Oryzias latipes: one gene and its partners. The protein of the gene in region 3 interacts with the protein of the main gene of each other region in a biochemical or structural test. Links are inferred from orthologs where the notes say so. Each region holds a gene or a part of one and is shown on either strand. Other genes may lie near its edges.

What was found.
Region 1: of the proteins of supt5h (region 3) and cdk9, one has a biochemical effect on the other in vitro, tested with the Homo sapiens proteins (4 studies listed by BioGRID, with this or other methods). The link is inferred for Oryzias latipes from reciprocal best matches to the Homo sapiens genes SUPT5H and CDK9.
Region 2: of the proteins of supt5h (region 3) and cdk7, one has a biochemical effect on the other in vitro, tested with the Homo sapiens proteins (2 studies listed by BioGRID, with this or other methods). The link is inferred for Oryzias latipes from reciprocal best matches to the Homo sapiens genes SUPT5H and CDK7.

Annotation. Positions count from the first base shown.
Region 1 is NC_019870.2:30,294,832-30,297,566, forward strand, and holds the end of cdk9 (cyclin-dependent kinase 9), read right to left. Parts: intron 1,424-2,735; coding exon 1,275-1,423; intron 1,207-1,274; coding exon 841-1,206; 3' UTR 635-840; downstream 1-634. UniProt on the Homo sapiens protein: Protein kinase involved in the regulation of transcription.
Region 2 is NC_019867.2:13,791,502-13,794,776, reverse strand, and holds the end of cdk7 (cyclin-dependent kinase 7), read right to left. Parts: intron 2,693-3,275; coding exon 2,593-2,692; intron 2,524-2,592; coding exon 2,437-2,523; intron 2,339-2,436; coding exon 2,189-2,338; intron 1,788-2,188; coding exon 1,649-1,787; intron 1,020-1,648; coding exon 991-1,019; 3' UTR 635-990; downstream 1-634. UniProt on the Homo sapiens protein: Serine/threonine kinase involved in cell cycle control and in RNA polymerase II-mediated RNA transcription. Cyclin-dependent kinases (CDKs) are activated by the binding to a cyclin and mediate the progression through the cell cycle.
Region 3 is NC_019871.2:945,282-949,514, reverse strand, and holds the start of supt5h (transcription elongation factor SPT5), read right to left. Parts: upstream 2,884-4,233; 5' UTR 2,747-2,883; intron 2,547-2,746; 5' UTR 2,533-2,546; coding exon 2,446-2,532; intron 698-2,445; coding exon 538-697; intron 469-537; coding exon 403-468; intron 1-402. UniProt on the Homo sapiens protein: Component of the DRB sensitivity-inducing factor complex (DSIF complex), which regulates mRNA processing and transcription elongation by RNA polymerase II.

The sequences.
Region 1 (2,735 bases), on a different chromosome or scaffold from region 3:
TCTGGTTTTGTGGTCACCTCCTGTTCTGTCCTTCGTCCTGGGAACAGATGTTCCAGTGTCGACCCTCGTCTTCTTCCGGTCTCTGAATCCAACGCCGCCGCAGCAGATCTCTGACCGACCTCACTCAGGAAGCCTTTTCCTGCAGCCGGTGGGTCTGCTGAGCAGCCCTTAGACTGAACAGCCTCTGCTCTGTCCGTCCTCTCAGGTTTGTGGCTTTGCTCTTCCGTGCACACGTCCATCCATGATGGAATAAAGACGTCGCGTTCTGATGCCGTCACGCTAAACGGTCTCATCAGAATCCAGCCGGGAATACACAGACCTACAACGGTCCTGTACTGCGGTCTGGCTCAGTCAACCGTTTTCCGGGTCGTTGGACCCAATTACCTTCAGGGGTTTCCATGTTTACGTGCTTCCACATGTAAACAAACACGTTAGTTTTCCTTCTGGCTCAATTGTAGAACATGCCACAAACCATGAATCCAGGTAGCTCCTCCCCCTCCTAAACATCCCAAAGGAACAATGACGGCGTTTAAGTCAAAAGCTCAGAGGGTTTAGTGTCTGCGGCTCTCATCGTCACTTCCTCTCTAACCGACTCACACAAGTAAAAACCACTTTCCTGCTTTGCATTCAGACGTTTCCATAAATGTTCACGATTGTGTTGCTTTATTACAAAGAACATTTGAATGAAAACAATCAGTTCAACTGAAAAAGCTACCAGATTCTGGATAAAGGAGCATTTCTGTCCGTTTCATTCCTGATCCCATAAAACCTGAACGTTTGATCATAACTGGCCTCACAGCAGAGTCTCCGGTCAAACTCGGTCCAAGACGTCCAGTGGGGCTAAAAGACTCGGTCGAACTCCGTCTGACTGGTCGTGGCCGGGTTTCGGTTCTGGTTGGGCTGCTGTTGGGGGATGTGCCCCCTCCGTCTGGGCGGGGCCAGGTACTCAAACATGGACGTGTTGTGAGTGGACAGCATGTTCTTGAGGTCTGAGGGCATGGGGTCGGACCAGAAGAAGTCGTGGTTCAGGGCGTCGTCGCTGTCTATGCGCTGAGCCGGGTCCAGAACCAGCAGCTTGTCGATGAGATCCAGGGCGTAGGCGTCCTTCACGTAGGCTTTGAGGCGGTCCTTGACCTTCCTCTTCTGGCCTTTGGGAAGCTCCATTTTCTGGTACAGTTCATACTTTTTGTCCACGCCGGGCCACACCTGGAGAAACAGAAATGATTGACAGCGAGCTGCTGCAACGCAGAGCCCCGCCCCCAAAGACCACTCGCCTCTGCAGTGATGGAGCCACACAGCTGGCTGATCAGGGTGAGCTGGTGCTGCTCCGTGTTGCCTTGCATGATGGGACTTCTGGTCCACATCTCCGCCATGATGCAGCCCGCCCCCCACAGATCGATGGGGGGGCCGTAGTCGCGCTCCCCTGCAGGGAAGGAGAACAGGAACGCGATTGGTTTCCTGTTGAAGCCGTCTGCTTCTCGACTCGTCAGCCTCTAAAGACCCGTTTCCCTGACGACCACGACGTTTTCAGCCATGTAACCTGAAACCCGCGTCGTTTTCCGGAACCGTTTCTGCAGGAGTCGGGGCCGCAAAAAGGGGCCATGCAGCATCTGGGTCGCATAGGAGCCCCAAACCAGAGCTGTGAAAAGTATTTACAGTCCGCATTTTTTAATTTTACAGCTGTGCACATATATTTACATGATCAGTGACAGACACTCCTCATGTCTGGAAGACGACATTTCTATTAGGTCTGGTTCTTCTTGTAACAAGTTCAAATGTAGAAACCGATCTACGTCTGAAGTACTGAAGCAGAAAGTGTCCGTTAAAACCTTTTGGTTCTCTTGTTTCTTCACTCCCAGCTCAGTCAATCCTCCATTCTGGCCCCAAACCCTGAATCCAGTCACGTCACTTTTTAAAAAAAATCATTTCACAAATGAACGACTGGAGTCGCGTCGTCACCACGCATAATATTACTACTAAACACTCTCCATAGTACTGCTTCACAGTGATACAGCACAAGATGGTTACCGGTCCATAAACGCACAGGAAGCTTTAGGCTCCAACATGTGTCACGGATAACCGGATGAATAACCGGACCTCTTGGTGTCGTTGACCCGGATCTGTTTTCTAGACTGCAACGCTGGATTTCTACCAGACATCCTGAAACACTGAGCCGTGTCCAAACACGGCTTTTATTTCTGATCCCCGATCCACACGGATCCCTGCCATGGTCCGGCACACGCGTGTACAGTGGCGTTCAGCGGTACCGCCGTGACCCAGTTTGAAGGCTTGTTGTCCTGGCGCCGTGGCGGGACAAAGACGCTGCTGTCTGTCCCAGTGCGACGGGCTGGTAGCAGCAGGGAAGGTGGTAAAGCCGGACATCGTTGCTCCGTTTTTAAATATTCTTTTGTCGTTTCCCAGATGAACCAGAAGACTTCCTGGATCTGGGTGGTTTTTTACAATGGGAATATCGTGAGTTCAAAGGTCGGTAATGTTTAATAAATAGACCTCGATGAACAAATGCTTGGATGTGATGTGTGTACAAGTACTTAAATATATACTATGAAGGCTTTTTTCTTGTCGTTTGGTCCCATCTTTCTTTTTTTGCTGATCTGCTGCAGATTTACTTTCCAACAACATAAATGTGAAATCACCAAGACAACAGCAGGAATGTTCCGTTTTTGCACAAAGCCCTGAAAGACGACATTCTAATGTTTAAATTCCACGTTTCCAGC
Region 2 (3,275 bases), on a different chromosome or scaffold from region 3:
AGAGGGACGGCTCATGTTGCCTGTGTTAGCGACAAAGTCAGAGAAGCCAGACTGAGATGGTTTGGACATGTTCAGAGGAGGGATAGTGGATATATTGGTAGAAGGATGTTGGAGATGGAGCTGCCTGGCAGGAGGGCAAGAGGACGGCCAAAGAGGAGATACATGGATGTCTTAACAGAGGACATGAAGTTGGCTAACGTTAGGGTAGAAGATGTTCATGATAGAGTGAGGTGGAAAAGGATGATTCGCTGTGGCGACCCCTGATGGGAAAAGCCGAAAGAGAAAGAAGGACAACAAATGACCAATTAGATAACCATAGCAAAAATAAGATGCTAAAAAGTCAACTAAACTCTTTATATCACTTCAAATAACTAAGTCTCTTGAATTTCTGTGTCGCTTCTGAACAACTTCATCGAGCCCGGCGTAAGACTTCTTCAGTATTAAATACTGATCCACACACATATATAGTGCCCTCTAGTGGTTGTTGCTATTTTTTTTAATTGAATCACACATAAGTCGCACCAGAGTATAAGTCGCACCAGCACGCCAAACTATGCTAAACTCTGAAAATACAGTATTTTGTATTTAATCATTTTATGTGAAGGAACTGGGGGGGAAAAAAAGACAAAGTATATTTTATCTGCTTATTTACTATTTATTGGTTTAACATAGAAAAAATAAAAATAACATCCATGTGCAGGGAGTGAGTCTGGTAGCCTACTTGTTTTAAACTCAAGTAACATTAATAAAAATATTTTATCACAGTCCCAAAGTTTAGGCATCATGAAGAACCAGAACCAACGGTTCTGACTACAGTCTCTGTTGCACCTTAGTACTGCTGGATGCTGCAGCACCTTGAGGTGTTATGCCACAGAGACAGCATCATCTGCTTTTAAGCTGCTTTCTGTTCCATCCAGGAAACAGTCCTGAGTAAAGCAAGAAGCCACATCTCGTTGTAGACATTCCCTCCCGTCTGTGAATCACTTCTGGTCAGAAAACGAGCTTCTTCTTCATTACGGCTGAAAATAAAAAAACAAACAACATGTTAAATTAATTAAAGTAAAGCATTTATAGATACAACCACTTGACATCAAGTCCGTTTTCTTTTCTATGCATTCACATGCTAAAAGTCCAGAGTTTTTATCTACAGTGTTCTTTCTGAAAGTCTCTTTGAGACAGGATAGAGCAGACCAGAGAATATGTAGTCATTATCCAAACCACAGGAGGAGCACAAAACAGGCTTTGAACCTCCCAGTTTCACCAAGAAACCAGCCCTCCCCACCACTCACTGAACTGCAGTGTTTGCTCTACCATATTCTGAACTTCTAACTTTAACTCAGCCAACACCCACTAAATGGCTGGGTTTGGTTTAGAGGTATGCTGCCTTTTAAAGGTTACCATGTGGACTGTGAGAAGCCAAACTATTTACTATTCTTTCTGAAGTTTGGGCTTTCACGGGACATTTAGGAACTCTTTTAGACCCAAACGTGCTGCTCACACCAACAGAATAAATAAATATCAAAGATATGTACAGGTGATCTTTGTTTATTACACAAATATCGGTAAATCTGGCTCAGGGTGGTCTTTAGAGGATTAAGGATGAACTTAAGACTATAAATATAAAAAGAAGTCATAAATCGATCTTTACTTGTTTCAAGGCCTTCAATTTTCCTCTTTAGCCCAACAGTTTCCTTTTCCCTCAAAGCCTCAGCCGAGCAGTTTGGTCTGGGGAGCTGTGGACCCGGTGTGGGTCCAGGCCGATTACTGAAGTACTTCATCTTTAGAGCCTGGGCAAAACAAAACAAACAACAATGGATGTACACTATATCTGCAGGTATCACTGCTGTGCCTCTCATACTTGTTTCCATATATATTATGTGTGGTTTTACAAAATAAATCCTCTCATGAAAAATCCAAAAGTGTTTTTCTGTGTCTTCATCTTTTTTGATTCTTAAAAGAAATATAAAAAGAAAACCTAATTTGACATTTACAGAATACGTTTTATTGTGAAGCCATATAATTCAGCGTAAAATAAACCTGCTACCTTTAATGAAGCATGTTCTAAAGATCTTTTATTTCTGGTTTTTAGATTTAAACAAACTTTTTTAAACAACATGATCTTAATAAAACTGGCACAATTTTTTTTTTTAAATGAAGAGGAGCAGCTGCACTGTAACATGGCATTTACCTGTGTGGCTGTGGTCCTGGTTGTGGGGTTGAAGGTAAAGAGGCCCTGTAGTAGCTCAAGTAAATCATCCCCAGCTGCACTAAATATATGTTCCAGCGGTGTGCCAGGAAATATCTTGAAGGACACAAAGTCTGGCAGACTACTCATTCCCTGCAGAGACGGTTGACAAACAGATGTTCGCAAGGAGTTTTACCTCTCTTAGGACAGTCTCATCTGATATATAAAGGAAAAAAAAAACTGAAACCAACAGGCCATGTTTCATCTGTGGCGGTTCCAAGAGCCTCGAAGATTTTGGTCAGCTGATCGAGATCAGAGTCTCCAGCAAGGAATGGTATCTGCAGAGGGGGAGACAATCATTTAATAGATCAGCGCAATGGATGGATATTTATGTGAAGTTTATGTACCCGAAGAAGCAACTCTGCCAGGATGCATCCCACCGCCCACATGTCAACGCCAACCCCATACATCCTGGCACCAAACAGGAGCTCAGGGGAGCGGTACCACCTAAGGAAGCAGTTGGGGAAAACGGAGCAAACAGTCACGTTAAGAGGAACAAAACTCTCAGATGTTTCCTCCCATTGGAGCCAAGTCTAACCGAGCAGCACTCATTTATGGCTTCTTTCCACTAGTTCATAGCTCATGGACAGCTTTCTGTTACCTCACTGGCCCACTTGTGTAACAGCTTGCAAATGAAATATTAATCAATCAAACTTTATTTATGTAGCACTTTTCATGTAAAAGTATAACACAAATCCTCCACTAATGTGTTTAACTCTGAGCAAAAATGTACAGCTGCAGCACCCCATAGATTCAAACACACAACAGCAATGGGTTCACTTAACTTTAGTTAAGTGATCAAAGGAGACAAATAATTTGATCTTTTATTTAGTAATCTAGCATTTATACTTTCATTTAACATGGAAAATCATTTCTGAAAAGAATCTGCAGTATCTGAGCAAACTCAAAGACAGAAAATGTTACGTTTCAGCTGAACTTCGACTGTGAAAGCCAGTCACAATTCAATCCCCAGAATTTAAAATATTAACATTATATTAGTCTACTCATCTGAAATATAATTTCTATCTAA
Region 3 (4,233 bases):
AAAGTCCACATTAGAGCTCCTGTGAACGTTTTCTACAGTGTGGAGCAGCATGGAGCCTCTTTACACCACATGAACGCAGATTCCACTGAAACTTTCTGTGATTTCGCCTAAAGTCTGAAAAACTCTTTTTCCAGCGTCCAGACGTTTACCAGCAGAAACAGACGAACCAAGCGCCCCGATTCTGTCTTTAGGAGCCAAAGTGTCGTCGTTCCTCACGGCTTTTTACAAACACATCTCTGTCTTTCACTGTGTCAGTCTTTGACTTTTTGTTCCATTTAGATCAGTAAAACCAAACCTGTGATGAAACATCTTTCAGCGCATCATCAGTTCAGAGGGGAGGAAGATCAGCGACGGTCCCTCTAGAAATCGCTTCAACCTCATTTCCAGAGCAACAGGTCTCACCTTTCTCCAGAATGTCTTCACCTTCATCCGCCCAATGATCGTCTTCATCATCCTCATCGTCCACATCTGCACAGACACGCAGAAGTTAAGCTCCGCCCTGAACAGCAGCAAGCGCTCCATGAAGCTCCGCCTCACCAGCTTCATCCAGGATGAACCCTCCGTGCTTTGGCTTCTTCCTGGGGCGCTCATCATCCTCGTCCTCTTCCTCCTCTTCATCATAATCATCCTCATCATCCAGGTCCTCCCCTTCCTCCTCTGCTACTTTGTCGCTGCCCACAGGGCTGCCCGTCTCCTCCTGATGACGATGCACAGCAGCAAATGTTTACAAAAAAAAGGACTAAAATGTTCAAAAGCTAAATGAAAACTTGATCATGATTCATGAAAAAACAAAAGAAGAATGCTACAAAAACTAAAGAACTCAAATGCAAAAAGGTTTCAGTTCCTACAAGCTGTTTGAAAAAGAAATCTTTTCTCCAAGATTGTAAATAGATAAAATAGAAATATATTAAAAAGATTAGCTCCTGGCAACATTTCTGGAGAGTTCTGCCTCCCTTACGTCTGTTTAAACAGCAGAGAACTGCATTATCACTAGAATTCATGTTTGCCTCCCCCGACTGAATTACAGCAAATGAAAGAACGTTGCCTGAATGCAACAGCGTATAATCATCACTACGGAAGAGGAAAATCTCATCGATGCGTGACAGAAGGACAGCCACTAATCGGTTATTAGACGCCTATTTGATTACAATACATAAACAATTCAGAATAGTTTTATGAAGTTTAATCGATAATCAAACATTTTAATTTAAACGTGGGGAGTTTTAAATCAGACGTTTTTGAGATGGCGTAAACACGGCAGACCGTGCGACACGATTGGCCAGATATCAGTGCTGAAGCTTATTGGCTTTGGATTAAAGTCATGCGGTGTGTACATTTGTAAACGTTCAAAATCACATGGTGCGGTTCCATCCGGAGGAGGGCAGGAACCGTTCTGGTGGTACCGGCATGAGTTCTGCTGCAAGCACTTCCAACAGTCAATAAAACATCCCAAAAAAATGTCGGCCGTCATCGGAAAAGGCTCAGCCAATAACAAAGTCAGAGCTTTTAAAACAAAGGACCTAAGACCGTATTCTGGTGGAGAATGAGGGTTTCCAAATGTTGCTTCACATCTTAGAGCTGAGACACAACATGCCTTCCTGTAGCTTCTCAACCAACACGGTCAACCTTTATGCTGAGACGAAGGGTGAAGCCACGGCAGCAGATGTGAGAGCCGACAGGACAGCATTAAGGTGAACTTCAATCGCTACTCAATCATCCGTCACAATAAGACCTGCAGCTAAATCCTCATGTCCTCCAAACAGATAATGACTGGAAGCTGCATCGACGATTGTTTCATACTTGGATCAAGTGTCGGTTTATCGTACACTGCTTCACCAAACTAAAGACTTTCTTCCACAGGTAACAGAAGGTGATAAGGAACATTGAGATGAAGACATACTGGATCAAGAACCGGACAATGCTACAACGTGCTTAAAAACAGATGAACCTCCAGGCCCTGACGGCTAAACCGCTACACGCCACTTCTGAATCAAACTCCCCGATTGGTCAGAGTGCAGCAATTCAGCGTGAAAATGTTCAACTCAGTCTGGACGACAACAAATGTTCTTTCTGCCATGGCGACATATTGAACCCACAGATCACTTAATCTGTTATTGTATTCATTATAAAACCGTCTAGAAAAGACTTACAAAACTGGTTCTGAAGCAAATCTTTCAACTCCACATCCTAAAAAGACATGATATAATATAGCATATATATATATATATATATATATATATATATATATATATTTGTTGATCAGTGGTTCGTGTGCATTTCATTTGTTTGAGGAGCTCTGTCGAAGGATTGTAAGCATTTGCTTTTTGTGGACTTTAATAAATGTTTTGGAGAAGAGACGGGCGCCATCGCCCGCGCAGCCGCAGTCTGACCGGGCTCTCCATCCCTGTTTACCCGGCCGGTTAGCCCCGCGAGCCGTTAGCTTACCTCATTCTCCTCCGCCTCCTCGGCCTCTCCGTCACTGCTGCGCTCGCTCTGGTTGTCGGAGAAATCACTGTCCTCGCTGTCAGACATGCTGCGGCTGTGAACTAAACATGTTAATGCAGAAATTAACGCAACTACCCGAAAGAAATCGACGTTTTCACTAAAATTCTTCCCGAACACAGAAATAAGCTACTAGCATCCAGCCTAGCAAGGCATGCTAACAGACTTCCCACAAGTCAAAACTTGCAGAAATCGCAAACATAACACTTAAATAGATGAAACAAGTCAACTGGACGCTATTTACCTGTTTAAAGGACAACAGAATGTCAAGTTATTGGACGCTTACGCAAAGTTATCAGTCTTATTTTGGTCACTAAGATGCCCGACGTATTATCACAGAACCGCGAGACTTCACAAAACTGCTTTACTTCACGCGAGATTTGAAGCAAACGATAGTTTATTGTCAAGGAACGGTCACTCAGTTTGTCTTTTTAAAAAAGTTTAAACTATATCTAAAATATACTAATAATCCTAATTGGTTTACTTGTGTTTTTTTCTCAATTCAACGCCGTCTACGTTTCCCTATAAATAAGTGCGTAATGTGCACTATAAATAAATTGTATGTCATACAAACCGTTGGATAAATTAAAATCCATAACGACAATTTGTGTCAGCAAATTGGAACATCAAAGTAAAGCTGAACTTAACACAGGAATGTGAAATCGTCTGATATCAAAGTATTGTGTGTTTTAAATAATATTGGTAAAAAAAACACATTTTGAAAATAAATAAAGAAAAATGCATAAAACAAATATTAAAACATACTTTATTGAAATAACAGTTTTTTAAGGTCGTAAAAAATTGTAAAAAAATAATAATAATAATAATAATTTATAATGTACTGTAAAAAACTGTAGCCAATAGTTCAGGTCATAGTGACACATCTGTCTTTCAACACATCTTTGTCACGTCCAGAAACCAAGAGTCTGGAGCAATGAGCTATATCACTAGAGGAGACACGCCCGCTTTAGAAGCCTGGCCGACGGTGGCGGAGCGCGACGCCATCTTGGTGAGGTCGACGACGCCCACATAACATTGATTTCTAGTGATTTTAGTGGTGTCTAAGTAGCTTTTATAAACTGTATATATTTTTATATTTAAATATATTTATACATTTATATAAATACATTATATTTTATGTATATAATATATATATATAGATACATCATTTGTTGTTGTTAAAGAAGAGAAACAGTCAGCCTTAAAAGCTCAAACTTGAATGAAAATGCATTGTTGCAGGAATTCTTATTAGAAATTATTATTAGAATTATTAGAAAGAATTTTTAAAATTAATTTCTAAAAATTTAGAAGTTTTAGACCTCTTTGACATGTAATTTAAATTATTTAGAAAAACCCAACACTACGTCAATAATAATAATAATAATACTAATAATACTAATAATAAATCAATAGTAAGTCAATACAAACAATAAATAACAATAAATAAATAATAAGTCAATAAATAATAATAAAAATTATATAATAATAATAATAATGGTAATAATAATAATAATAATAACAATTATTATTATTATTTATTATTATTAATATTAATATTCAAAAGAAGTCCAAAAGTAAACAATAGATTTACCCTAAAAAAAAACAGTCTGGCCTCTCATCAAAATCTGTTTCCACAAATGTTTTGAACAGCCAGACTGTATTGCTAGTTGGTTCCACAGTGATCCATCTGGGTTAACTCTTTTGATAGATAAGGCCCACTTTTTCCCTAAG